7 linked regions of the Xenopus tropicalis genome follow. The protein of the gene in region 1 interacts with the protein of each later gene in a pairwise test. Links are inferred from orthologs where the notes say so. Each region holds a gene or a part of one and is shown in the gene's direction. Other genes may lie near its edges.

Region 1 (4,177 bases):
CCTAGCATTCCAATCCTGCCCATCTGATTATTACACAACCCCAAGCTTGCAGAACCCCACTTGCTTGCATATTAAACTAGCCCCTAGTAACCAAGCCCCTAGCCCCTAGTAACCAAGCCCCTAGCCCCTAGCATTCCAATCCTGCCCGTCTGATTATTACACAACCCCAAGCTTGCAGAACCCCACTTGCTTGCTTATTAAACTAGCCCCTAGTAACCAAGCCCCTAGCAACCAAGTCCCTAGCCCCTAGTAACCAACCCCCCTAGCCCCTAGTAACCAAACCCCCTAGCCCCTAGTAACCAAGCACCTAGCCCCTAGCATTCCAATCCTGCCCGTCTGATTATTACACAACCCCAAGCTTGCAGAACCCCACTTGCTTGCTTATTAAACTAGCCCCTAGTAACCAAGCCCCCAGTAACCAAGCCCCTAGTAACCAAGCCCCTAGTAACCAAACCCCCTAGCCCCTAGTAACCAAGCACCTAGCCCCTAGCATTCCAATCCTGCCCGTCTGATTATTACACAACCCCAAGCTTGCAGAACCCCACTTGCTTGCTTATTAAATTAGCCCCTAGTAACCAAGCCCCCAGTAACCAAGCCCCTAGTAACCAAACCCCCTAGCCCCTAGTAACCAAGCACCTAGCCCCTAGCATTCCAATCCTGCCCGTCTGATTATTACACAACCCCAAGCTTGCAGAACCCCACTTGCTTGCTTATTAAACTAGCCCCTAGTAACCAAGCCCCTAGTAACCAAGCCCCTAGTAACCAAGCCCCTAGCAACCAAGCCCCTAGTAACCAAGCCCCCTAGCCCCTAGTAACCAAGCCCCTAGCATTCCAATCCTGCCCGTCTGATTATTACACAACCCCAAGCTTGCAGAACCCCACTTGCTTGCTTATTTAACTAGCCCCTAGTAACCAAGCCCCTAGTAACCAAGCCCCTAGCCCCTAGTAACCAAGCACCTAGCCCCTAGCATTCCAATCCTGCCCGTCTGATTATTACACAACCCCAAGCTTACGGAACCCCACTTGCTTGCTTATTAAACTAGCCCCTAGTAACCAAGCCCCTAGCAACCAAGCCCCCAGTAACCAAGCCCCTAGCCCCTAGTAACCAAGCCCCTAGCCCCTAGTAACCAAGCCCCTAGCCCCTAGTAACCAAACCCCCTAGCCCCTAGTAACCAAGCACCTAGCATTCCAATCCTGCCCGTCTGATTATTACACAACCCCAAGCTTGCAGAACCCCACTTGCTTGCATATTAAACTAGCCCCTAGCAACCAAGCCCCTAGCAACCAAGCCCCTAGCAACCAAGCCCCTAGCCCGTAGCCCCTATTCCAATCCTGCCAGTCTGATTCTGACACAACCCCACGCTTGTAGAACCCTACTTCCGGTGTCGCGTCCCGTACGCGTCATTGTGTAGGCGTGACCGGAAGTGTGCCGCGTACATTACTGCAGCCTGTGGAACCCGGGGCTCAGGTACCTGGAACTGGAATATCGGTAACTATGACGCCTCATGGAAGCTTATTTTAGCATTTAGCCCCACTTGTTTGTGTTTGGTATAACTAAGCCGGGGCTGCTCAGTGAATACGGGGTGTCTGGTTCCCGCACAGGAGCGGAATGGCCATGTGTACCTGTCTGGTGTCAATGGCTGCGCTATTAGTTTCTTCCCCATAACTGTTTGAGGGGATTATGGGAGTTGTAGTTTAAATCCTGACCTGTGATTATTGTCCCTTACTAAATGCTGTTACATTGATTGCTGCATTGTATCTGGGTAATGCATCCAGTTCCATAGCATGCCATTTACTCACTCCATGCCCCATTCCTCTCCCATCACTCACTTCAGCATGGCCCTCTTTAACCCCTTATGGGTCACTGTAAGTAGTAGTACTTCTCTGGTTGGCTGTGGCTACTGAGCCATTCTGGCCAATCAGGAGGGGGAACGCAGCCGACTGGACATATACTGTTCAAGGTTATTTCTATCACTTGTCTTTTTTTTTTTTTACCTAAATCCAAGGAAAAGGACATGGAATGTTTTGGGGGGCCCCAAGGCACAACCCTGTATAGCCATAAAGGGGTTGGGCACCTTTGAGTTATCTTTTAGTTTGATGTAGAGAGTGATATTCTGAGACAATTTGCAATTGGTCTTCATTTTTTTATTTGTAGTGTTTTAGTTATTTTATTTTCAGTTCAGAAGTTCTCCAGTTTGGAGTTTCACCAGCTATTTGGTTGCTAGGGCCAAGTTACTTTAGCAGCCAGGGAGTGGTTTGGACAAGAGACTGGTATATGAATAGGAGAAGGCCTTAATAGAAAATTAAAGTTACAAAAAGTAACAATAAAACTGTAGCCTCACAGAGCGATAGATTTCTGGCTGCCAGGGTCACTGACCCCCATTTAAGGGCTCTGGCACACAGGGAGATTAGTCGCCCGCAACAAAACTCCCTGTTCGCGGGCGACTAATCTCCCCGAGTTGCCGCCAGTTGCCATCCCACCGGCGACAATGTAAGTCGCCGGTGGGATGGCACACGCAGCGGCGCGATTTCGGGAAATCACTGAAGTTGCCTCGCAAGGCTTTTTCGTCGATTTCCCGAAATCGTGCTGCCGCGTGTGCCATCCCACCGGTGACTCGGGGAGATTAGTCGCCCGCGAACAGGGAGTTTTGTCGCGGGCGACTAATCTCCCCGTGTGCCAGAGCCCTAAAAAGTTGGAAGGAGAAGGCAAATATTTAATAAACTATAACAAATAAATAATGCAGACCAATTGAAAAGTTGCTTAGAATTGGCCATTCTATAAAACACAACAACTTATATATTGTTAAATATTGTTTCCCTCTCTCAGGCACCATGTCTATGTCGCACCTTTATGGCAAAGATGAGGACAGCGATGGAGTGGAAATGGAGAACTTTGAGATCACGGACTGGGACCTACAGAATGAGTTTAACCCCAACCGCAGAAAGCATTTCCAAACAAAAGAGGAGGCGACCTATGGGATGTGGGCAGAGCGGGACTCTGATGATGAGAGGCCAAGCTTTGGGGGGAAAAGGTTGGTGGGTCTTTAGATTGGTAGGAGGGGTCACTCAATAGTAATAGTCACCTTCTTGCGTGCAGTTAATGATACAGCACCACCCAATACGGACACCTTTCATTTTATTTCTTCATAGGTCTCGAGACTACTCGGCCCCTGTCAATTTTATCAGCGCTGGGATCCGTAAGCCTGCTGCAGAAGAAAAATCTGATAGCGATTCCGACAGTGAAACGCAAGCAAGGAGGGAAACTTTCCCAAAGGATTTTGAGGCAAAGAAGCTAAGGACGGTAGGATGAGTCTAAGGAGTGTTTGTACTTCCCAATAGTAATAGTCTGACAGGGTTAAAAGGGGTGTTCTTCTTTAAACCAACTTTTGGTTGCTATTCTAAAACAATTTGCAGTTGGTCTTCTTTTTTTTTTTATTATTATTTAGCTTTATATTCAGCACTTTTCCAGTTTGGAATTCTAACAGTTATATGGTTGCTATGAACCAACATAACCTAGCAACCAGTCAGTGGTTCAAATGAGAGACTGGAATAATAGCAGGAGTGGGTCTGAATAGAAAGATAAGTTTAAAAAAAAAAAAAAAAAAGTAATAACAGCGTAATTGTAGCCTCACAGAGCAATAGTTTCTTGCTGCCGGGGTCAGTGACCCTCTTTAAAAAAAATGAGGACCAATTGAAAAGTTGCTACGAACTTGCTCTTCTATAACCTACTTAAAATTAACTTAAGGACGAACCATCCATTTATAAGAGAGAGAACTATTATTGTAAGAAAGACACACTATATTCATTGTTTCATTCCAAAGCTTCAGTCAGTTTCAGTTTGTGTATTTTACAGGGTGGTAATTTCAAACCATCACAGAGGACATTTGCTGGAGGAATAAAGTCAAACACAGATTTTGGTTCTTGGGAGCGGCATACCAAGGGAATCGGCCAGAAACTTCTTCAGAAGATGGGTTATGTGCAAGGAAGAGGCCTGGGAAAGAATGCTCAAGGTATAACTGGGTTCTTTGGCCAGTGAGGTTAAATTAGAAGCTCTACTGAGGCAGGGGCTATTCTCAGATGGAAACGTGCAATAGTAGCTTTTATTATAATCTGACTGTAAGTATGTGAGAAAAATGTATTTTATAGCCAGGATATTCTTTAAAGGATAAGAAAACTT
Region 2 (4,109 bases), about 100 Mb from region 1:
CCAGAAAGCTCCAAATTACGGAAAGTCCAACTCCCATAGACTCAATTTTAATCAAATAATTCAGAATTTTAAAACTGATTTCCTTTTTTTCTGTAATAATAAAACAGTACCTTGTACTTGATCCCAACTAAGATATAAATAATTCTTATTGGATGCAAAACAAGCCTATTGGGTTTAAAAAATGTTTTCTTGATTTTTTAGTAGACTTAACGAACTGCATACAAGTCCCTTCACCTGGTTTCTCATACCCCCTTCCTCTTTTAGATCATAAGCTCTATTGAGCAGGTATCTCTTTACTTCTCATATTGGTTATATATTTTTTGTTTTATGTAATCTATGGGGCACATTTACTTATCCACGAATGCTCTGAGCGTTCGTTCAATTGTATTTTCCGCAACTTTTTCGTACCTTGCGCGACTTTTTCGTACCTTGCGCGACTATTTTCTATATTTAGCGCGAAAAAATCAGATCAGTTTGCCCGCTGTTTACAATCGTTCGGTACGAAAATTTTGTGACTTTCAGATCGCCAATACGTTATTATCGTGACAAATACGATTTTTTCGTAAGCATTTTCGTGATATTTGCGATCTTCAGAAATTTGCGTTTCCAATCTGAATTTTTCCCATTCGGGATTCGAAACTCGTCTTTTGATAAATCTGCCCCTATATGTTAGATGTATGCACACCCTTCCACAGGGCCAAACTGGAATGTGCAGGGCCCACCAGGGCTGCCACTTCAGGGGCCCACCACTCCCTCTAGGGGCCCCTGCCATCCTCCCAAACCCCCCCCCCCACTATGCAGGTATACCTCATAGCAACCTTGCTGCAATAGGGGGTCTGGGTTAGCAGGGCTCACTGGGTTTTTTTCCAGTCTGATCCTGCCCTTCTATTATACAGCAATGCAGAATATGCTGGTGCTATATAAATAAGTATTAATAACAATAAAAGTGTTTCAGTATATTGCCACATATTTATTTATATGCTTGTAGGGCAGCAGCACTATGACCAGTCATTGTTAGTTCATAGTATCTGTTTACTGATAGTTTCACTCTATCATCTGTAGTCACTGAAAATGTGGCAATAAATGCAGTTATATAGTTAAAATCTGTAAAAAATTTAGCATGCACGTCTAGGTTTGTCATATACTGTTAGGTGCTCAAAACAGTACATATATTACAACAGTGTACTTGGAAATGATGTTGAAAGATATTAACCACCCCTTGTCATTAACAGCTGGGAAATAGTAACGGTATGAGATATGGTACAGCGTATACAGTAACTCCATCAAGCCTCAGCAATACGCATGCGCTCAGCTGTCCAAGGAGGCCCCGCCCTCTACCCGTGACCTCACAGAGCTTTCCGGTACCGATCCCTGCTTCTGCCTCACAGAGGGGAACAAGCGGTACCCCGGGCCCGCAGCATAAACGTATCTTTCCGCCCTGCTTCTCTCCTTCGCCTTTGTAACTCACGCGAAATGGTTCGCAAGTTAAAGTATCACGAGCAGAAGCTGCTGAAAAAGGTAGACTTTATTAACTGGGAGGTGGATAATAACATCCATGAAGTCAAAGTGCTGCGAAAATACCATTTGGATAAGCGAGAAGACTATACTAAGTAAGTGTCGCCTAACTATGTCAAAGCGAAATCATTACAGCTATGTTTCATTCCGATATGTTGTTTACAGAATGGCGATTAGAGTGTATAAATACCTCTCGTACACGTGTGAAACGGGCGCAGCCATGACACTTTCACCATGACAACAATATGGCCTACTTCCGGGAACGCAGAGGCTCTTGTTAACAGCTGAACTCAGTCTTGTTATGTTTATTAAACATGCTGACCGAAACACATGACAAATCAGAGACACTTTTTAAAATGTAATTAGCAAGGCTGGTCTAATGGCAATCAGTGTTTAAATACAAGAATAGATTGAAGATCCTTCAAGGATAGAAAATTGCTTTTTGTATTAGAAGGGTTCCTTATTTTTCTAATAGTAACATATTTATATAGTAATATCAGTGTGATGGTGCCTTAGATTGAAACACTGCTGATGAAATATATTGATGGGGTGATTAATTCTGTTGCTGTACAGTGGTATATTGCATTGCTTACAGAGGCTGAAAATGTTGACTTTCACTGAAATCTCAGTGGTCCCAGATGCATACTGTTGTGTGACATGTGTTTACATTACTTAATATCTTATATCAGGGGTCCCCAACATTGTTACCTGTGAGCCACATTCAGGTGTAAAAAGTGAAACCCAAGCATGACAAATTTACCTGGGCATACCAAATAAGGGCTGTGATTGGTTATTTGGTTGCTCCTATGTGAACTGGCAGCCTACAGGTGGATTTTATGGAGACCAAAACTTACTCCAAGCCTTGAGTTAAAAAAAATAAGAACCTCCTTTAAGGCCCTGGGAGCTTCTTCAATCAAGGGTTGGTGAGCAACATGTTGTTCTTGAGCTACTGGTTGGGGACCACTGCCTTATATGATGCATGATCCCTATTATTCATTTGCTTCCACAAGTAGGTTTGCCACTTGACCAGTAAAAATAATGCTTGATGCCAAAAGCCCAGTAAATGTCCTTTGTGTCATTAGGCTTTAGGGCTATAGCATGGGGCAAGTTGGTATTTAATACACACTGCCCAGCAGAATGGCACTTGCCATTCTTTCAACATATTGATATGCACACTTTTTTGACAGTTTGAGCAATGCTACGTGTATAGCTTGAGGTGAGGCATGTGAACACCTTCTGTTTTCAGAAGACATTTCTCCACATTTCTTTATTTAGAGGACCTTTTGGCCCTTCTAACCCTAACCTTGCTTTCCAAGTTTTATCCTATCAGAAACCATATTCCAGTATTTTGTGCTAATGAGATCTTAGATGATGGAAAATATCAAGAGCATGTAGTACTTTTCAGGCAAGAGACTAGAAGTGTTAACCTCATCCCTTAAATAGTGGGTTTATATGAAATGTACTTGCTGCAAGCTTGATTAGTAATCAAATAATGCATGAATGCTTAAAAGAGTGTTGTCTTCTGTATGCATTTCTATGCAATGTCACCATGTTTATTTATGAACAAGGTTTGCATCAAACTTTAACAAAGAAACATGCTCATAACTGTTCCTTTATATTTCCTTTATTGCAGTGCCTATTTTGTGTTGGCTATAGGGGTCTAATAGTTCACTTATTCTTGCTATTCATTTGTCCTGTAGGTACAACAAACTCAGTAGAAATATCCGAGAACTTGCCCAAAAAATTAGAGACCTGGATGAAAAAGATAAATTTCGTGTCCAAAGTACTGCAAAGCTCCTAGAGAAACTGTAAGTATGAAATGAAGTTTTATTAGCCCCAATGGATAGGCTGCAAATTTAAATATATCCTTTATATACATTTATAGGTATTTATTTTCCATTGTGTGGGTGCTGCCAGCACTCTACATCTTGTCGCGTCATTTTTATTAAATAGGTATATGAAGTATAGATTTTGAACCATACATATTTTGAATTTGCACTTGCATTTAGCTCTTGAACAACGGTTTGGAGTGTATTGACCACTTTTTTATGCAGGCCAAATGCCTACAGAATGATTTAGGCAGTCGGATGACCGTAAGCACCTATAAGGTATAATAAGCAGCCCCACCTCTGTTGCTCCTTGGGCAGTCAGATCTGTATTTGGCTTGCTGCTCTAGGTCAAAAATACAGCACTTTTTCAAAACGGGTAAGGAAAATGTGCAAGGGTGGGAAAGCCATCTTCAAATATTAAGTTTTAGTTCACCTTTATTCTTGGTGTGCCCCCCATAAACTTGTATTCTGTAGGAAGATAAGCCAAACTTCCACATGGTTTTACCTCTTATTTGATGTTCTCTCTTTTTGAAAAACATGTTGTAATTGGAATTGTTTATTCTTATTAAGGACAGACTTCACTCAAGGACAGGCAAGACATAATTAAACAAAAGATAATTAAATAATTAAGACATTTATTCGGATTGTGCATTGAACTTTTTTTTGGTTTGTGTGTTGCAATACTGGCCAACACAACTCTTTGGGAACACAACCTGATGGTAGGTATGGCTTGGGTGTAAGAGTTCCCTTATCTGGCATTTGTTA
Region 3 (3,500 bases), on another chromosome or scaffold:
TTACTCTGCACGATTCATTAAGTACAACCTGATCTTTTAAGCTTAAACGTGGTTGGGAAAGGCCACTAGTCAATATGGCACTCTTACAATTAATATTGGTAGTGTATTTTACAGCTGCAGAAATGAAGTGCTCACACCAACCTACTGTACTGATTTTCTGTCAGGCCAGGTTATATTAAAATGATATCGAAGAAATCTAGGCAGCCTCTGAGCAGGCTGTAGGCCCAAGCCCCCAGCCAGGCCTGTATATGTACAAATTCATTGTGGTTCCTTAAAGGAGAAGGAAAGGCTAGTAAAGAGTTAATCTCAAGCCGCAGGCATACCTTCAGTTGTCTCAATGGTGCCCTTAAGTCTCCCCATATTTCACCTGTTCAGATGATCAGAAGCCAAACAGGAAGAAAAAATGCTGAGCTGTGTAAAGAAAGTTCCCATAATGCCTCACTCCTCACTCCTTCACCGAGACCAAGTGTACATGCTCAGTTAGATTATGAGGAAGCTTCCTGCTGATTGGCTCAGATCCACATTCCTTGGGGGGGGGGTGAGCTCTTAGCATTCTTGAGGGAGGGGGAAGCAGGAGAGAGGAGAAAGCAGAGAGCTGCATGTCTCTGGCACATGAATTACAGACACAAGAAGTCAGTGCAGCGTTTCTGTGAGTGCTTATGGCTGCATTTACATAGACCTTTCTGATAAAGCTTACTGAGTTTTTACCTTTCCTTCTCCTTTAAAGTCTGACACCAATAAATTTGATTAAATTTCCTTTTAACCCTCGGAATATTGTACATTCACCTTTGAAGGTCCCAGCTGCTTTTACATGCCATACGCTTATCACATTCATTTGTGTTCTATTTATTTTATCTCCAGAATTTATTTATTTTTTAATATAGAATTTTTCCCACTAGTTTGAGCTCATTTCTCATTTGTGTTTTTTGTCTCATTTGTTTCCATCAGCAAATGCCCAGCACACCAGGGTTTGTGGGATACAATCCATACAGCCATCTTGCCTACAACAACTACAGGCTGGGAGGGAACGCAGGCAGCAACAGCAGGGTAACGGTAGGAGAATGAACAGATACGTCACTCTTGGCGTTTCTGCACAGCTAAAGCTGGTGTTTGGGGGGGTGATATTTAACCCAGTAGTGGCTATTTGTGCCTAAAAAATGAATGCATTGCATTTATCCATGTTTGCACAGTATTTTCACTTTGTAGATTATACTAACATAAGATTGTTCTGAAGTTAAAGGTTATGTTGCCTAGGGGCTGTAAATAATCATATTGCATGAATGTTTATTACATTTAAACTTAAGGTCTATGCATTGAATGCCATTGCCCTTCACTCCAGCCCCAGCTAATTGCTGTACTGGTTTGTAAAGGAGCTGGTTACCTCTGATTAGCTGTGCATTTTAGTTTTTGGCTTTCTGGCAGGGTTAATTCCTGCTGTGCCTTAAGGGCACCTACAAATAATTTTGTGAGCCATATTTACTGGGGTTGGTGATTTACATGCTGTTCACAAGCCTTAAGTTTTAGGCTAATGCCAGACGAGGCGTAGGGCGGATATTTTCTGCAAGCGGAAAAACGATTTCCGAAAATTCTGCCCTACGCCTCCTACATGTGCCTGCACCCGAATGAATGGAATACACTCAGGTGCAGGAAATACACATAAAAACGCAAGAGTTTGAAAGTCTCGTGTTTTTATTCATATTTCGGCTACATGTGCCTGCACCCGAGCGTATTCCATTCATTCGGGTGCAGGCACATGTAGGAGGAGTAGTGTGGTATTTTCGGCAAGTGCTTTTCTGCTTGCCGAAAATATCTGCCCTGCGCCTCGTCTGGCATTAGCCTTACTCAGTAGGGCAATACTTACATAGGCATTTTATAGCTGGTAGCCAGCACTTCATGTTAAGGGCCACCTTCTTACCTATATTTCACCAAATTTGGAGCATGCTAGTAAGTCTGGTAATGTGTGCACTTTCCGTAGTGCCATCATGTTTGGGCACATTGTCATTATTTTGGGGGATATAGAGAATTACCCTGCATGCACACTGGCAGAGTTTCAAACAAATTGACTATGCTAGCCTCTAAATTTGCCATTATCCTATGAGTCGGTTCAACTGGTTTTTGCTTCTGGCCATTAATAGGATCCGCAATGCAACCTTGAGGCTACAGGCCTTGATTTATATGTACAGAATTATGTTATGAAGAATCAAAGGGGTCTCTGCATCCTACCATAATTACTATCTGCACAGTTCAGCCTCTGACAAGCCATCTGTTTATTTTCAGTGAAAGACATGTATTTATATAGCGCCGGCAAGCTACATAGCTCTGTACATTAATTAAGATCTAAATCTGGAGTGTGAAAGTTTTACTCATTTTGTATATTTTTTTTTTTTTTTTTGGATTTTAATCCAGGACATTTGCGCTGTGAAGCATCAGTGCTAATGGTGTGGGGTTTTTTTCCGTAAAAGGCCTGTGACAGACGGGGAGATTAGTCACCGTGGGACAAATCTCCCTGAAATGCCATCCCACCGGCTAGGGGTGGGATGGCAAACGCGGTGCCGAAATCGGCAAAGTTTCCTATCAAGGCAATTTTGGCAAAACGCCATGCCGCATTACCCATGCCACCGGCGATTTACATTCTAGCTGGTGGGATGGCATTTCAGGGAGATTAGTCACCCGCGACAAGGGAGATTTGTTGCACGGCGACTGATCTCCCCGTCTGTTACAGGACTATTTACCGTTTCATTAGACATGATTCAGGCTTTTATTTTTAAAAGAAAAAAGCGCACAACAGTTATATGAACTTTAGACAGACATACCTGATTCCACAGATTGAAAAGGAACCATGATAGTCTGTCTCAGTGCTCTTTAAGACCAATAGCCCCCTCAGTGTGTAAATACCTCCCTCACCATGTTCCATTATGAAGTGATGAATTCTGAGACTTGAGTCCCTCTACTTCCTAGAGATATTTCTTCATCACCCACTATAAAAGCTACATAAAGTCCCAGAATCTCATCACTTTACAGTAGAAGGTAAGGGGGGGGGTTGTATTACACTGTGAGCCTATGGAAGATTGGGAAATTCTTCATTAGAGAAACATGGATTCCTTTTAGGAATAATGTGGCCATTAGACTGCTATACATTTACTGTAGGTATCTATCAGTTCAGCTATGGGGCAGGTTTGAACATTTCATCTGGGAGTGGCAGTGGTCGACACATGTATGGCCACGTTAAGACTATTTCTTTAATTCTGCATTATATGTATTATTTACATTGTGCAAGAAGCTCTCAAGTTGTATTGTATGACTTGTATTTTTTGGTTTGGAAGCTAAAGGGGATCCAGTTATGGATTTCTCTAGCAAAGGCAATGCTGTTGCCGTATATTTACTGCGGTGTTTTGTCCGTGACATGAATTATTCAAATTGCATTGTGGGAATTGTGGAATTTTACAGGAGAGTCTGAGAAAATAGATCCCCCATGATTGAAAGGCAACACCACTGTTTAT
Region 4 (3,500 bases), on another chromosome or scaffold:
AACCAGAAGTACTCTGGGGAAGCCAAATTGTCCAGGTATATATGTTTCCTTGTGACCACTGAGAGTGGTCTTATGTGGTCATGGAAATCCTCAGTCACATCATTGCATCTGCAGAAAGGTTTGCTAGCAGAGCTGTAGAACCATCTCACTTAATGCTTGTTTGGGCCATCATCCTGAACAGAGGGAACTATGTTCTATATTTAGCCATATGTGCTGGCCATACATGTAAAGAGCACAAGGTCACCAATGGAGCGGACCTGTTCCCAATATGCCCACCCCTGTGATTGCCCAGATTGCACCATTGAAGGCGCCCAAGCAAAATTTTCAGGACTGAATTGGCAGGTGGAGGTAGAATTTCTATTGTTTTTACCTCCATATCTGACAATTCAGCCCTGAACGTCAGTGGAGGGTAGGAACGATCGTTATTGCTACGTGTATGGCTGCTGAATTGGTCTGGAGTGGCTGACTGGGGTCTGTTGTTAATATAAGGCCTATGTGTATGGCCACCTTAAGGGTGAAGACACACAGAGCTACCAGTAGCAGCTACTTGTCAAGGCTACAAAAAAAGACAATGCTGATAATTTACTGATAATTGTCTCTTTGTGTGTTTTAGCAGAGGCAATTCTCAGTATTGTCTATGGCAGGGGATTTTCCAGCATTTAGTAGCCGTGACAAGTAGCTGCTACTAATTAGCTCCGTGTGTCTTCACCCTAACTGTAATGCCTAGAGCCACATAATATCTCTCATCATTTACTTTGTTCCATAATAGAGGGCAGCAGGATCTGGAAGAGCTGCAGAGTCACCTCCAGAAAGAAGAGAAAAGGTGTGAGAAAACCAAAGAGGAACTAGAACAAATGTCCAAAATTCTGAATGAGACCAAAGCTGGAGTGGAACATCTAGCAAGCAAAGTCAAGCACATCAAGGTGGTGAGTACTAGGTTGATGCAATACAGGAAATGTATTCAGTGCTGATTGGCTGCCATCCTACAGTGTACATTGCTGAGAGCTGCAGGTTTTCCTGAACAGCCTGGGAAAGCGGCCAACAGAAAGTGGAATGGCTGACTGGTGCCAGGGGAAATTTTTAGGGATGCATTGAGCTCCCGGTTTATTCCAGAATTCTCGGCACTCTTTGCATATTCCAGGACCCAAACTCTTTAGCCAGAGTCAGAACCTTTTAGACTCACATGACCTTACAGCTGTGGACTACTGACAATTTTTTTCACAACCTATGAATTTTTTTAAAGTTTTCCAAATCGGAGGCTGGTTAGCCTCCTTGCAGACCTGGACTGGGATTTAAAATAGGACCTGGTATTTTAAGTTCAGTTAGGCCCAAACCAGCCCGATAAATAGTGAGTGTCTATGGCACCTTAGAGCAGCCCCTCTGGCATTTGCCTGAACCCACAGATTGCCAGTCTGGGCCTGATTTTCAGTACACAGAGGCCCAAACAGCCCCCCATAGGCCCAATAAATAGTGACTGTCTATGGCATCTTACAGCAGCCCCTCTGGCATTTGCCTGAACCCACAGATTGCCAGTCTGGGCCTGATTTTCAGTACACAGAGGCCCAAACAGCCCCCCATAGGCCCAATGAATAGTGACTGTCTATGGCATCTTACAGCAGCCCCTCTGGCATTTGCCTGAACCCACAGATTGCCAGTCTGGGCCTGATTTTCAGTACACAGAGGCCCAAACAGCCCCCCATAGGCCCAATAAATAGTGAGTGTCTATGGCACCTTACAGCAGCCCCTCTGGCATTTGCCTGAACCCACAGATTGGCAGTCTGGGCCTGCTTCCTTGGTAGTGCTAAATTCCTGGAGACAGCCTGTACTAAAAGTCAAAGTTAGTTTTAGGCCCAAGAGCATCCTCGGAGCAGATTCCCAGGACTCTCGTGGGGAGCTGGGTATCATTCTTGGCTGCACAGTACAACCATATTATGATTAATCTCTTCACCATTTTAGCCAAAGGTCTATTTTCCTGCTCTGGATGGTTCTCCATTGTCAGATGAGCAAGTCCTTGACCTAATGGGCATCACTGAGGAGAAGTTGCAGAAGCTTCTGGAAGAGCTGGAGGGGCAGGATCTGGGACAGATTATCAAACAAATGGATGAAGAAGAGGTGAGTAAAAGAGAAAGTAATGGTTCTGAAGCGCACAGCCCACTGGGCCTGTGTTTTTTGCACCTTGCATGAGTAATGCGCCCTATGTGTAGGTAAGGAATGAACATTACTCCTATTGATTTTGGTGATTTCTAATGGCTTTGTGCATCATGAAGGGGGAGAGTACCATGGCTGGTACTTAACTGTTTGATGCTGGGAGTGCGCCTAAAGGGGCATAGATTTGCATTCATTTATGCGCTATATTATAATCCCAATATTCTCAGTTCCAGGCAAGCATTGAGGGCAAACTGCCAGCGCACAACATACGAATTTCCCTTCCAGCTCCATCCAAGCAGGACATGTTTGAAGGTAAGTGTTCCTGGCACTAACTTTAGCAATACAAAACCATTACAAAGCACATGGTTGGGTAGCTGGGAGGGGTAGTAGCGAACCAATTTAAAAAAAAAAAAAGCAGTCTGTACAAAATGTTCTTGATATCCATGTGTGTGTTTCTTTCACTGATTCGGTTATACCATGTGTGCAAGAGGGTGAACAGACATTTACTTTCACTTTTTAGGGCTGATTTGATAGTAATTGAGAATAAATGGGCAGAGGGTTCGGCATAGGTATATGGGTAGGAATTGCTGCATGGTTGGATTAGTGTAGGATTGGAACAGGCAGTGAGAAGTCTGATAGCTACAGGTATAGGGGATCTGGAAGACTGACACATAGCTGGTACAAGAGACCGGAAATCTGATAGTGGCAGAACTGGTACAGGGGACAGGGAGGCTGATAGCTGCATGGTTGGTACAGGGAACAGGGAGGCTGATAGCTGCATGGCTGTTACATGGAACAGGGAGGCTGATAGCTGTATTGTTGGTACAGGGGACAGGGAGGCTGATAGCTGCATGGTTCGTACAGGGAACAGGGAGGCTGATAGCTGCATGGTTGGTACATGGAACAGGGAGGCTGATAGCTGCATGGTTGGTACAGGGGACAGGGAGGCTGATAGCTGCATGGCTGGTACAGGGGACATGGAGGCTGATAGCTGCATGGTTGGTACAGGGGACAGGGAGGCTGATAGCTGCATGGTTGGTACAAAGGGCAGGGAGGCTGATAGCTGCATGGTTGGTACATGGAACAGGGAGGCTGATAGCTGCATGGTTGGTACAGGGGACAGGGAGGCTGATAGCTGCATGGCTGGTACAGGGGACAGGGAGGCTGATAGCTGCATGGTTGGTACAGGGGACAGGGAGGCCGATAGCTGTATGGTTGGTACAGGGGACAGGGAGGCTGATAGCTGCATGGTTGGTACAGAGGACAGGGAGGCTGATAGCTGCATGGCTGGTACATGGAACAGGGAGGCTGATAGCTGCATGGTTGGTACAGGGGACAGGGAGGCTGATAGC
Region 5 (4,199 bases), on another chromosome or scaffold:
TAGCATGCAGGAACTACATACCCCACAATGCATTGCACTGCAATGTTCTATTCCTTATTGACAACCCGTGTGCACGGGATTGTGGGATTTGGAGGATGCAGGCTGAGAGCAGTCAGCTACTGTTACATTTTCTTTTAGACTTATAGTCAGCCAGACCAGCAGGAGAACAGGGGGCTAGGCTTAGGTAACTGTTCCAAACCATATTATTACATTAAAAATTATGAAAAGGCTGCATATTTTTAATTGTTGTAATTGTTAATTGCTATAATGTTGCTTGAAATTATGTTTACTTTTCAAAGAGCTTAATCTGTGCTTGGGTTGATTTCCCCTTTAATATCTGGGGAGTGAAAAACTGTAAAATGCCAAACTGCAAGTGTTTGTGTATATGCTGTGTGTGCATCAAGCAAAGCAATACAATAAATGACAAAAGCAGATGTTACCAGACCATTGGGCAAAATCTTTTAGGCTCCCTCCCACACTTTGGAAAAGATAATCTGTGCCATACACACATGCCGAGATTGCACATCTATTATTGATCGCAGCTATTATTTGCAGCTTATTTCTTCAACTAGAGGGCACTCTCTCCTCTGGCTCAATCAAACTGCTTAAAGGGGCAGTATACACCTGTGTTAAAAAATAAACCACAGGCACTTTATAGTTACAATATATACACAGGCCGAGGCAGTGCCAGTCAGTACAGTTATAGCAAGGAGCGTATGGGAGTCAATGCTCTTCGTGTGCTATTAGCCTTAAATGAAACACTGTTCATTTTATATTAATATGAGCCCAACAAGTGCTAACCCATATAGGATTCCTAAATATTTTTATGATACAGGTATAGGACCCCTTATCCAGAATGTGCGGGACCAAGGGTATTCCAGATAAGAGGTCTTTCTGTAATTTCAATCTCCATACCTTAAGTCTACTAAAAAAAAACAATAAAACATTAATTAAACCCAATAGGATTGTTTTGCATACAATAAGGATTATTTATATCTTTTATTACTACAGAGAAAAAGGAAATCAGTTTTAAAATTATTTGATTAAAATGGAGTCTATGGGAGACATGCTTTTTCGTAATTCAAAGCTTTCTGTATAATGGGTTTCCGGATAAGGGATCCCACACCTGTAGTATATTATCAATAAGTGCTTGAAAGACTTACCATACAATTGCAAATATATATAGATAGATAGATATATGTATATATATATGTGTGTGTGTGTGTGTGTATGTGCTAATTTAATGCACATGTGAGGACAGAAAAATATTCCATAGGGTGATTGCTGTTCCTCTCCCTTTTCCTTTTATTGAAGTTGGATAATCCCCCCCTCCTCCCCAGCCCCCTGCCCAATACAATATGATCAGGGCCAGACGGTGGGGTCTGGTTTCTAAAAGAAAACGTCCACCACATGCTTGGGACAGCCCCACTACAAAGGGCATTTGAAAAAGCCATTTGTCTGTCACTCCAATCATAACCTCCGACGCCTCTCACGCTGACAAGGGCTCCAGGTAAGTGAGCTGGAACATCATGCTTAGTATTAGGGAAAAGGCAAGGCACATATATATAGAACTGATTAACTGAATCACTCATCCCATATTTTTATTTAGCATGTCTTAGTCTGTCAATATAATTAGTTTTTCTGTGCAGAGAATTATTTTTGTATATTGTGATTTTTGCATTTCTCTTTCTGGCTACATTTGGTTTGAGCTCACTGTAACACTATGAACAAAAGGAGAATGTTCCAGAGCCTATATGTTCCTTTCAAGCCTTTTACTCCCCTAAAGAGCCAGCCTTTTTATTCCCAGCATACTGCATGATTATGCTTATATATGTACTATTCCTGCCAAGGAGAATACTCTTGGACATTGACAATTGACAACTGCAGTTTTAAAAAATAATTTAGCAGCTTTAGGGGTTTTTTTTGCCCAAACCCATCCCTACTGTCTCCCATTCACTGTTATATAAACCACCTTATAGCACTATTACTACTTCTTTCCGTTTTCCAATTTAAAGGGACACGCAACCCCTTTGTTTAACACTGGCTCAGTGAATAGAGATTGTGCTGAACATACCTGCTGGACTGCTGATCTGTTTGACTCTGCGGACCAGAAAGTAGAACGTGACTGGAGTGCTATTGATTAAAAAGCTAAATAATTAAAAAAAACACAAAATCTGAAAAATGAAGACCAATTGCAAACTGTCTCATTATGCCTCATACTAAAAGTTAAAAGGCTAACTACCTCTGTAATTGGGTTTGTTTTACATTAATTTTAGTCATTATTCTTCATCACTTACATTTCTCTTTATATTTTGTGGATTACTCCTCCTTACTTTACTTACTGTAATGTACTGTTGCCCTGCACTGGTAAAACTTGTGTGTTTGCTTTAGAAACCCTAATATAGTTTCTATAAATCAGCTGCTGTGTAACCATGGGGGCAGCTATTTTAGCTGAAAAAAAGGATAACACACAGGTTACATAGTAGATAACAGATAAACACTGTAACATACAATTGGAATCTACACAGCTTATTGGTTTTCTGCTATGTAACCTGTGCCTTTTCTCCTTTTAAAGGTTGAATAGCTGCCCCCATGGCTACACAGCAGTTTTGTTTATATTAAAGGAACAGTAACACCAAAAAATTCAAGTGTATAAAAGAAATTCCAATATAATGTGCTGCTGCCCTGCACTGGTACAACTGGTGTGTTTGCCTCAGAAACACTACTATGGTTTATATAAAGAATGCAGCTGTGTAGCCATGGGGGCAGCCATTCAAAGGAGAAAAGGCACAGGCACATAGCAGATAACAGATAAAACACTATTGTATTCTACAGAGCTTATCCGTTATCTGCTATGTAACCTGTGCCTCTTCTCCTTTTTTCCAGCTTGAATGGCTGCCCCCGGGGCTACACAGCAGCTCATTATATATAACCTATAGTAGAGTTACTGTAGCAAACACACAACTTTTACCAGTGTAAGCCAACAGTACATTATATTTAATTTACTTTAAAACTCTTTCATTTTTTGGTGTTACTGTTCCTTTAACTATAGTAGGATTTCTGTAGCAAATGCACAACTTTTACTAGTACAGGGAAACAGTACATAATATATGAATTACTTGCACAGCTGTTGTTTGGGAGTTGCTAATAGGAGGAACTGCCCTGGGCATTGCAGAGCATTAGTTAGATATAGGATGTTGGTGGGGTAACAGGGTAATACCGCAACAGTAGAGCCACATGGTGATAATAGAGCAAGATAGACACTGTATTTCAGTATTGCCAAACCTGCAACCCTTAAGTTGATGCAGAAGTACACATCTCACTGTTCAATGATGGCAAAGGTGATTCAGAGGGTTGTAGTTTAACAGCAACTGCTTTTGTATGAAGTCATTGTGTGAACTGATGCCATTTATTATAGGTACAGGTATGGGACCTATTATACAGAATGCTTGGGACCTGGGGTTTTCCGGATAAGGGGTCTTTCCGTAATTTGGATCGCCTACCTTAAGTCTGCCAAAAAAAATATTTAAACAGTAATTAAACCCAATAGGATTGTTTTGGCTCCAATAAGGATTAATTATATCTTAGTTGGGATCAAGTACAAGGTTCTGTTTTATTATTACAGAAAATTATTTTTAAAAAATTTGAATTATTTAATTTAAATGGAGTCTATGGGAGATGGCCTTTCCGTAATTCAGAACTCTCTGGATAATGGGCTTCTGGATAAGGAGTCAGATTCCTGGACTTGCATCTATACTTCTACTAGTGCGCTGTTCCCACCTCCTGTGCCAAATCACATGCAAGTGTGTGTATTGAGGCAGGGGATCCCTGGAGCTACAACCACCTCCAAGTTTCAGAGTTCCCACTGTGGGTAAAAATTAGAACTGCTATACCCTCACATTCATCTGTGCAAACTGAAAATAAACCTTACTTCTAAATCTGATATATTCTCCTTTCAATACTCACACAAATATGCACAGTGCGTCTCTGCCAGGACTGAGTTCACTGAAGCCCTTAAGCATCTTGCATTAATGATCTAGTTGCAACCATCTTTAATTGTGGAGGGGCCCAGGTTTTATATACAGTAATGTTGGATTGTCCAACTTTTGGCCCTTCAGCACAACTCACAGCACTGCTGACAGCCACAGCACTGATATAAAATGGTACGTGCTGATTCCATCTTGTTCCTGCTACGCACC
Region 6 (3,433 bases), on another chromosome or scaffold:
CAGCCACTGGCCCTGGAGATTTGGGGAAAGGTTTTGGAAATGTTTCAATATTGCTTTAAGAATACAACCCCTGATGTTACTGGACTACAGCTCACCCTTCATTATATGTTAAATTGTTCTGGGATTTGTAGTCCAGGAACAACTGAGTAAAGTTTGGTTGAGCAGTGCTGCAGGCTTTAGTGTACCTTTAAACCAGGGGTCCCCAACCTTTTTTACTCATAAGCCACAGTCAAACGTAAAAAGACTTGGAGAGCAACACAAGCACCATAAAAGTTCATGGAGGAGCCAAATAAGTGCTGTGATTGGCTATTAGGCAGCCTCTATGCACACTATCAGCTTACAGGAGGCTTTATTTGGTAGTAAATCTTGTTTTTATTCAACAAAAACTTGACAACAAGTCAGGAATTCAAAAATAACTACCTGGTTTGGGGGCACTGAGAGCAACATCCACGGGGTTGGGGAGCAACATGGTTGGAGATCACTGCTTTAAACCCTCCCATCATCCACAGTTTAGGAACAAAAAAGAAGTGGAACCCTTGTGCCACTGCCATTGTTTCTTATTTGAACTCCTTCCTTCCTAAAATGGTGCAGGAGTAGGAAGTCTTGTCCCAAATCAGCCCTTGTTTTGTCCATTAATTGCAAACAATCTGGTTTCCACAGTCTGCACATCAGACGCTTATTCCTGCCCCGGCACTGTGGATATAAAAAAAGAAAAATCAATTCACAGCCTACAATTAAGTGCTTGGTAAGTATGAATGGTGCCTACAGTAGCTCTTAGTTCTCTTGTTTGCACAAATATACTAGCATTCTCCCATGCCATGAAAAAAATCCTAAAAACTCAAGATTAGTTTTGGTTTATTTCATCCATTTTAATTCTTCTAAATTAGCCCTTGTTTTAAACTGTTTCTACATTTCTCCCATCCCTAGTTTCCCCTCTTTCCTTTCTGGTCAAATTGAGAAAATTATTTTATTTGTTCCCTGGCCCAAGCTAAAACTAAACAAAGCAAAAAAAAATGTTTTTTTTAAATGAAAATCATAAAGACTGGGAACGCAGTGACTTTTCCCTGTCAGAAGTAGGCGCTACAAGCAAAGACAATTACAATAGCAAGCGGACTCAAGTGACATGCCACAACCAACAGCTTATCCTTATGTGACACGGACGTACTCCCGCCCCCAAAGGTTCGTACGTACCACGCCCCCGCGCTTACGTTATGCGGCGTGACGCAACGATCTCGCGAGATGAGATTTGTGACGTCTGGATTTGTGTCCGGAAGGAATCACGGAGTTGAAAGTTAAAGCAGGATTATTTGGTGGAATTGTGACAGGACAGTTGCCATGAATATCCTGCCTAAGAAGAGCTGGCATGTGCGTAATAAGGATAACGTGGCCCGCGTTAGGAAGGACGAGGCACAGGCTGCGGAAGAGGAGCGAGTGCGTAGGAAACGGGTGGAACTCGCAGAACAAGAGGTGAGAGTAGCGCTGCAGTGAAACTATAGACCCCGGCTCTAAAGGCACACTAGGCCTTATATACTACAGAGGCAAAAATGTGCATGTTGCACACAGAGAGCGATTGCGCCTGTTTCTTGCATCAAGCTCACATTGCGCATATCTCTGTAAAGGCGCGGAATGGTATACCGTTTGACACTGGCCTTGTGGTCAAATGTTCTCCATGGGGCAGTGGTTCAACTGTAATACTCTTGGCATCTCCAGTAGATCTACATTATTCTTTGGTACTCAGTCATGGAGACACTGCTGCCAGAGGGTGCCAGGTACATTAGACGGAAGGTGTCTTGGTTGCACATGTGTGTTTGCCGTTTCAGGCTCGGACAGATTTCCTGCGTAAGAAGGCTCGTCTCTCCTTGCCAGAAGAGTACAGGAGTGATGGGACTTCCTCGGTGGAACTCACCAAGGATTCTGGCCACATCAACTTTTTTCAAGAAGTGGAGGAGGGCAAAGGAACAAACAAAGGCAACAAAGAATATGAAGAGGAGAAACGTAAAGAAAAGGTCTGTTATTTTACTTTACTGCAGGAGAGGCTGTGTGTTTTGACAACTTTTCCCTTACTGTATTTTAAATTATTTGTATTTAACTTGATTTCTTAGGTGGGTTTTGCTTTGTTTTTTATGGATAATTTACACAGGAGCGGCAAGAAAAAACCCTGGGCATTCTTACATATTTAGGACAAAGTGCTGCAGAAGCCCAAACCAGTCGCCCATGGTACCAGGAAGTCCCTGGTCGCCACTGTAAGGCCGAAGATGGCAACGCAAAGGATGAAAAGGTGAAAAACCTGTTAGATCCTTTACATGACATGGAGAAATACTTGCAGAAGAAATCTGGAGAAAAGAAGAAATTTAAAGAAGAAAAGCAAAACAAACATAAATCCAGGCAAGAAAGCAGGTAGGTTAGACAAAATTGGAATTTGCTGCTAGTCTACAGGTATTCCTGCTGCTTTAATTAGAAGCCCATGGATCCCAGTGCTCAATTAAATCCACTGCCTTTGTCTCTCTAGTTCTTTTGTTCTGTGCTGAATGAGCTAACTCACAATGTAAATATTTGGCAGAAGTAGTAATGTAGGCAATGTCTCCAGCCTCTAGAAAGTTTGGTCTTGGTAGGAGTGTGCTGCATGATTTAGAGTGATTTGTTTCTTTGTCTTGTAGACCCACCAAGCCATCAATAGAGCAACTAAGGCAGGAACGTCTCAAGAGAGAGGCAGCAGAGAGAGCTCGGGCTGAAGCCTTGCTATCAGGGAGAAAGGAGTCTGCAGAACCAGAACAAGAAATGGATGACCGAACACGCCGTTACAATTCTCAGTTCAACCCACAGCTGGCACGAAAACCTAAAATGCGAGAAGAGCCACAGCGGTGATGTTAAAGAAACTAATGGCAATATTTCTACATCTCATAGCTCTGATAATAAAATGTATATATTTCCAAGTTGCTGTAGAATGTCCTAATGCACTTGGGTTAATGGACCACAAGCCCCTACAAAATGCCAGACGTCTGCACTGAGTAGCAGGACAGGAGAGGATTACCCATTTTTAAACCACACAGGTGTGATAGAAAGTAAATTCTACATAGGTTGTACAGCAGTGCTTACATACACCAAGGCTTTTTCTTGGTTGCAATTATATAAAACTGGATTCCTGTAATTGGTGCTCTACTTTATACCAGGCAGAAAAATCATTCTAGAACAGGAGTTTTCCTTATGCCTGTTTCTACATGAGATTAAAGAAAATGTTGTTTGATACAAGGAAGATTAATCATGAAACAAAAGCACTGGGGAAAAACATGAAGTGTCAGGTTATTGCCAAAACAGTCACATAATTTGGATTGTGAACTACACAGGGATAGAGAGGTCTGGCATGTTTAGTGATTACTGTCTTTTCAACAATGAAATCTCTCAAACATAAGTATACATTTTCAGAAATATGCTT
Region 7 (4,064 bases), on another chromosome or scaffold:
GGAGGAGGGGGTTATTCTTCCCCTTTACAGAGCGCTGGTAAGGCCCCATCTAGAATATGCCATTCAGTTATGGTCTCCAGTGCACAAACAGGACATTATTGAATTAGAGAGGGTACAGAGAAAGGCAACTAAGCTGGTAAAGGGTATGGAAAGTCTCAGTTATGAAGAAAGACTGGCCAAGTTTAGGTTGTTTACACTGGAGAAGAGGCGCTTAAAGAGTGATATGATAACTATATATAAATTTATAAAGGGGTCATATAATAATCTATCTAATGCTTTATTTACCAGTAGGTCCATGCAACTGACACAAGGGCACCCACCCTGTTTAGAAGAAAGGTGATTCCATCTAAATATTCAGAAAATATTTTTTTACTGTGAGAGCTGTGTAGTTGTGTAATTCCCTTCTTGAATAAGTCATACTGGCTTATACATTATATAGCTTCACGAAGGGTTTGGATGGCTTTTTAGCAAGTGAGGAAAAACAGGGTTATGGGAGATAGCTCTTAGTACAAATTAATCCAGGGACAGGTCCGATTGCCATCTTGGAGTCAGGAAGGATTTTTTCTCCCCTCTGCAGGAAATTAGAGAGGTTTCAGATGTTTTTTTTTTCCTTTTTCTGGATCTCCCAGTTAGTCAGGTTATATATAGGCATTAAGGTTGAAATTAATGGACGTGTGTCTTTTTTCAACTTAACTTACTATATTACTATTTTGTACTCTTACCCGCTAATATTTTCTCCAGCAGTCTGAAAACCAAACATTTTTGTGTTTACTTCAGACACAACTCTATGACATATATCATGGAAAAGGACTCTCCAGCACAAGTCTTATTGTCATTTACAGGGTAACCCTTTTGAAATAAAAAATAACAAAAGTGGTATAAAGGTGATACCTTTATTGGCTAACTAAGATAACCATAGCAAGCTTTCAGAACGTTCTAGTTCCTTTTTCAAGCTGATAATCAGGAACTAGAATGTTCTGAAAGCTTGCTATGGTTATCTTAGTTAGCCAATAAAGGTATCACCTTTATTTCACTTTTGTTATTTTTTATTTCAAAAGGGTTACCCTATAAACATTTTTTGACTGGCTAACACGGTACATCACCTTTTCCTGTCATAAGAAACGACGTCAAAATGATACTGTTCCATAATTGTGGTCCTTGCCAGTTCTTTCAGAGATTACACTAGGTGGCGCTTCACACGCAGCCTCTAGGAAAGCTACAGAATGGCCAGTATCCAGCAGCAGCGCCAGGGGGGGAGGAGTTATGCAAACATAGTAGTGCGGATTTCACCCCAGCTCAAGAGACAAACTGTGGTTTAGTTGTACTTCCTTAAGTGCGGGGACGGGATTGTCATTGTGCTGTTTCCCTGGGGATCTCTCATATTCCGGTATGTATGAAACATCTGTATTCTTTCTCTTTTGTGTTTCCTTGTTCCAAGGAGTGTGTTCAGTTCTACAGAAAGCGCCTTACTGACAGTTTGTGTATTGGGACTTTCAAGGGCAGTTCCTTACCTCGCACAGGTAAGGCAGAATTAACAAACACATCCCAGATAATTTGCGGTTGCTGTGCGCTTTGCACTTCTTCCTGCATAAGATTTGCTGTTGCCACTTTGCGCTTTCGGTACGTTTTCCTTGGTGGTGGCGCTATATTTGTGGCACCATTGCGCTGGAGTTGTTGGAAGAAGTCGATAAAAATGGATTTGAAATGTGAAAGCGTTTTAGTTGCCTTGCACAAAACGCTTCCAAAAGCAAGTTGAGGAAGCAGAGCTATTGTTTTTCTGGGGGGTTAAACATTTCTATTGTATAATATAGTGAGCCAATGCGCGCAGTGCTAGGCGCTGTTACAGGCACCCCACCCATCCCTTCCACAAATACTTTAGTAACTGCTGGGAGCTCGGCCGGGTTTGTTTTAGGGAAAGACCAGTTGTGAAAGTATACAGCAATATCATTATGCACACTGTTGAGAAAATAGCATCATTCTAAAACAATTAACACATCTTTTATTCCATTGTGAGTCACAGTCATGTGGCAAACCGGCATGTAACATTGAAGGCGTTAAAACCGGTAATTATGCACGTGTTAATGAGCCTGATTCTCCCCTAATTGCCACTTGTCATGTGACCAGCTGTTTCATACCTGGCTTGGTGCATCGCATAAAAGTAGCCCTATGATTAAAAAAACAAACAAACAAAGCATATACAGTATATGCATTGGCTTACAACAATCAGCGCTTTAAAGCCATGTTAATAATGCCGTTTACATGTTTATTTAAAAGTTTTGTGGCTTTCTGCAACATTTGTATACCTTTAGCAACTTTCTCAGGGTTATTTTATGAAATGGATACATAAGATGTGTTTGTGCTTCCCTGTAAAGGTAGAAGCCATATCAAGGTCATCCAGCCCAGTGGAAGCATTGGCAAGCTTCTGCACTTGTGCAGATACAGTCCCAGCATTCCACTGTCAGATTTGTTACATCAAAATAGTTTAGGCTGTGCATGAATGATGCCATCATTATGTCAGGAGCTTGGTGATGGAATTCATTAGGAATGTTAAATGTGTAGGGAACTGCTATTGACAATCCTGTTGGATTCTGTCACCTGTTGATTGCTTTGTTGATTTTAGCAAGCCATTGCAGAAAAAAAAAACTGGTAATTCCACTTGACAAGTGGACACACAGAGCTACAAGTAGCAGCTACTTGTCATGGCTACTCAGGGGGGTTTTTGGCCCCTGGGCCACCCGAGCACCACCGGTGCCGCCCCCCCCCCCCTTGGAACCCCATGCTTACCTTCACAGCACCGAATGGGGTCCAGGGGGGCCGCATCGCTAGTGTGGAAAGTGCAATTGTGCGCTCTGCACTGGCATAGCCGAATTTCCAGTTTAAAACTCAGAAATTCGGCTCTTAAAGTTACCAGGAGCAGCTTTTTGCTGCCCCTGATAACTTTGGGGGCACTGCCGCCTGAGGCAAGTTTCTCAACCCGCCTTATGGTAGCAGCGTGTCCTGCGGCTACTAAACACCAGAAAATACCCAGTCATAGACAATACTGAGAATTGCCTCCGCTGAAACACATGTAGAGACGCTTATTGGTGGATGATAGGTATTGTCTATTTCTGTAACTGTGACAAGTAGCTGCAACTAGTAGCTCTGTGTGTCTACACCCTTAAAGTAACTTTAAACTAAAAATGCAAAGTTTTGCAACTTGCCAGTATACCATAATTACACACTTTTGGTTGTTTTAAGATTACTTATGAATGTATGTGCTATTGAAAGCAGCATCTTTCTGCCCCTTTGTAGTCTCTTCTGTTTCTGACTACATGTACAACTGAAATAATATTCCCTATCACACAGTGAACAGCATGTTCAAAGAATTGTGGGAAATGAAGCCACAGCTTGAAGAGGGCTATACTGTTTCAATTGTCAGAAGCAGCAGTGAAGAGAACAGCAAGAGGCAGACACTTTATTCAATAACATTTACAATACACTTGAAAAACAGCAAATTTGCAATTAATATATAATGGAACATCATTTTTCTTTAATTACACAACATTTTAATGGTTTAAAAACCCCTTTAATGTAATGTGGGAAGCTGACTGAATGTAGGGCACCACCTGGAAATGCCCCCTAGTCTCGGTCTCGGTCAGCCATAGGCAGAGGTATTCCTAGTCAGTGTGAAGACGTGACAGCCAGGGTAGGGCCTATGCCTAATCTTGCAGTGCTTTGTTCCTATTTCGAACAAGGTATTGACTTTTTTATTGAACTATAACAAGTCAGATGTTAGCATTCTAACAGGTAAACAGTTGACCAGCTGTTCTGCATTTCTGGGTCTGGTACAAACTTTCCTCTACAACTTCGCAGTTTAAGGAGTATGACATTTTCCCCCAAAACAACACTGTTTTAAACAATACAGTGTTCTACATACTATTTTCATTTACAAATACACATTTCGATTGCAAATCCTTTTCAAATACTACACCTGTATTTTACATAGTCCCCATTCATGCTGTAATAAAGAAAGAAAAAAAAAGAGCAGGCTATTATATGAAATATTTCTCTTCCAGTAGCAGTAG

Evidence for each region.
Region 2: the proteins of tfip11 (region 1) and imp3 interact in binary tests that used the Homo sapiens proteins (3 or more experiments, as listed by UniProt). The two-hybrid records come from large-scale screens. The link is inferred for Xenopus tropicalis from reciprocal best matches to the Homo sapiens genes TFIP11 and IMP3.
Region 3: the proteins of tfip11 (region 1) and smarce1 interact in binary tests that used the Homo sapiens proteins (3 or more experiments, as listed by UniProt). The two-hybrid records come from large-scale screens. The link is inferred for Xenopus tropicalis from reciprocal best matches to the Homo sapiens genes TFIP11 and SMARCE1.
Region 4: the proteins of tfip11 (region 1) and ccdc151 interact in binary tests that used the Homo sapiens proteins (3 or more experiments, as listed by UniProt). The two-hybrid records come from large-scale screens. The link is inferred for Xenopus tropicalis from reciprocal best matches to the Homo sapiens genes TFIP11 and ODAD3.
Region 5: the proteins of tfip11 (region 1) and tnnt1 interact in binary tests that used the Homo sapiens proteins (3 or more experiments, as listed by UniProt). The two-hybrid records come from large-scale screens. The link is inferred for Xenopus tropicalis from reciprocal best matches to the Homo sapiens genes TFIP11 and TNNT1.
Region 6: the proteins of tfip11 (region 1) and leng1 interact in binary tests that used the Homo sapiens proteins (3 or more experiments, as listed by UniProt). The link is inferred for Xenopus tropicalis from reciprocal best matches to the Homo sapiens genes TFIP11 and LENG1.
Region 7: the proteins of tfip11 (region 1) and sh2d4a interact in binary tests that used the Homo sapiens proteins (3 or more experiments, as listed by UniProt). The two-hybrid records come from large-scale screens. The link is inferred for Xenopus tropicalis from reciprocal best matches to the Homo sapiens genes TFIP11 and SH2D4A.

What each region holds. Positions count from the first base shown.
Region 1 is NC_030680.2:15,107,828-15,112,004, forward strand, and holds the start of tfip11 (tuftelin-interacting protein 11), read left to right. Parts: upstream 1-1,377; 5' UTR 1,378-1,489; intron 1,490-1,663; exon of another isoform or gene 1,664-1,961; intron 1,962-2,827; 5' UTR 2,828-2,832; coding exon 2,833-3,032; intron 3,033-3,150; coding exon 3,151-3,301; intron 3,302-3,853; coding exon 3,854-4,010; intron 4,011-4,177. UniProt on the Homo sapiens protein: Involved in pre-mRNA splicing, specifically in spliceosome disassembly during late-stage splicing events. Intron turnover seems to proceed through reactions in two lariat-intron associated complexes termed Intron Large (IL) and Intron Small (IS).
Region 2 is NC_030680.2:118,013,675-118,017,783, forward strand, and holds the start of imp3 (U3 small nucleolar ribonucleoprotein protein IMP3), read left to right. Parts: upstream 1-1,309; 5' UTR 1,310-1,473; coding exon 1,474-1,610; intron 1,611-3,215; coding exon 3,216-3,323; intron 3,324-4,109. UniProt on the Homo sapiens protein: Component of the 60-80S U3 small nucleolar ribonucleoprotein (U3 snoRNP). Required for the early cleavages during pre-18S ribosomal RNA processing. Part of the small subunit (SSU) processome, first precursor of the small eukaryotic ribosomal subunit.
Region 3 is NC_030686.2:8,337,395-8,340,894, forward strand, and holds part of smarce1 (SWI/SNF-related matrix-associated actin-dependent regulator of chromatin subfamily E member 1), read left to right. Parts: intron 1-948; coding exon 949-1,053; intron 1,054-3,500. UniProt on the Homo sapiens protein: Involved in transcriptional activation and repression of select genes by chromatin remodeling (alteration of DNA-nucleosome topology).
Region 4 is NC_030679.2:139,191,730-139,195,229, reverse strand, and holds part of ccdc151 (coiled-coil domain-containing protein 151), read left to right. Parts: coding exon 1-35; intron 36-769; coding exon 770-926; intron 927-1,956; coding exon 1,957-2,112; intron 2,113-2,375; coding exon 2,376-2,460; intron 2,461-3,500. UniProt on the Homo sapiens protein: Component of the outer dynein arm-docking complex (ODA-DC) that mediates outer dynein arms (ODA) binding onto the doublet microtubule. Involved in mediating assembly of both ODAs and their axonemal docking complex onto ciliary microtubules.
Region 5 is NC_030683.2:104,578,815-104,583,013, forward strand, and holds the start of tnnt1 (troponin T, slow skeletal muscle), read left to right. Parts: upstream 1-1,399; 5' UTR 1,400-1,510; intron 1,511-4,199. UniProt on the Homo sapiens protein: Troponin T is the tropomyosin-binding subunit of troponin, the thin filament regulatory complex which confers calcium-sensitivity to striated muscle actomyosin ATPase activity.
Region 6 is NC_030683.2:104,890,826-104,894,258, forward strand, and holds leng1 (leukocyte receptor cluster member 1), read left to right. Parts: upstream 1-1,302; 5' UTR 1,303-1,335; coding exon 1,336-1,467; intron 1,468-1,820; coding exon 1,821-2,006; intron 2,007-2,140; coding exon 2,141-2,397; intron 2,398-2,657; coding exon 2,658-2,865; 3' UTR 2,866-2,933; downstream 2,934-3,433.
Region 7 is NC_030677.2:96,324,914-96,328,977, reverse strand, and holds the start of sh2d4a (SH2 domain-containing protein 4A), read left to right. Parts: upstream 1-1,264; 5' UTR 1,265-1,387; intron 1,388-1,437; exon of another isoform or gene 1,438-1,520; intron 1,521-4,064. UniProt on the Homo sapiens protein: Inhibits estrogen-induced cell proliferation by competing with PLCG for binding to ESR1, blocking the effect of estrogen on PLCG and repressing estrogen-induced proliferation. May play a role in T-cell development and function.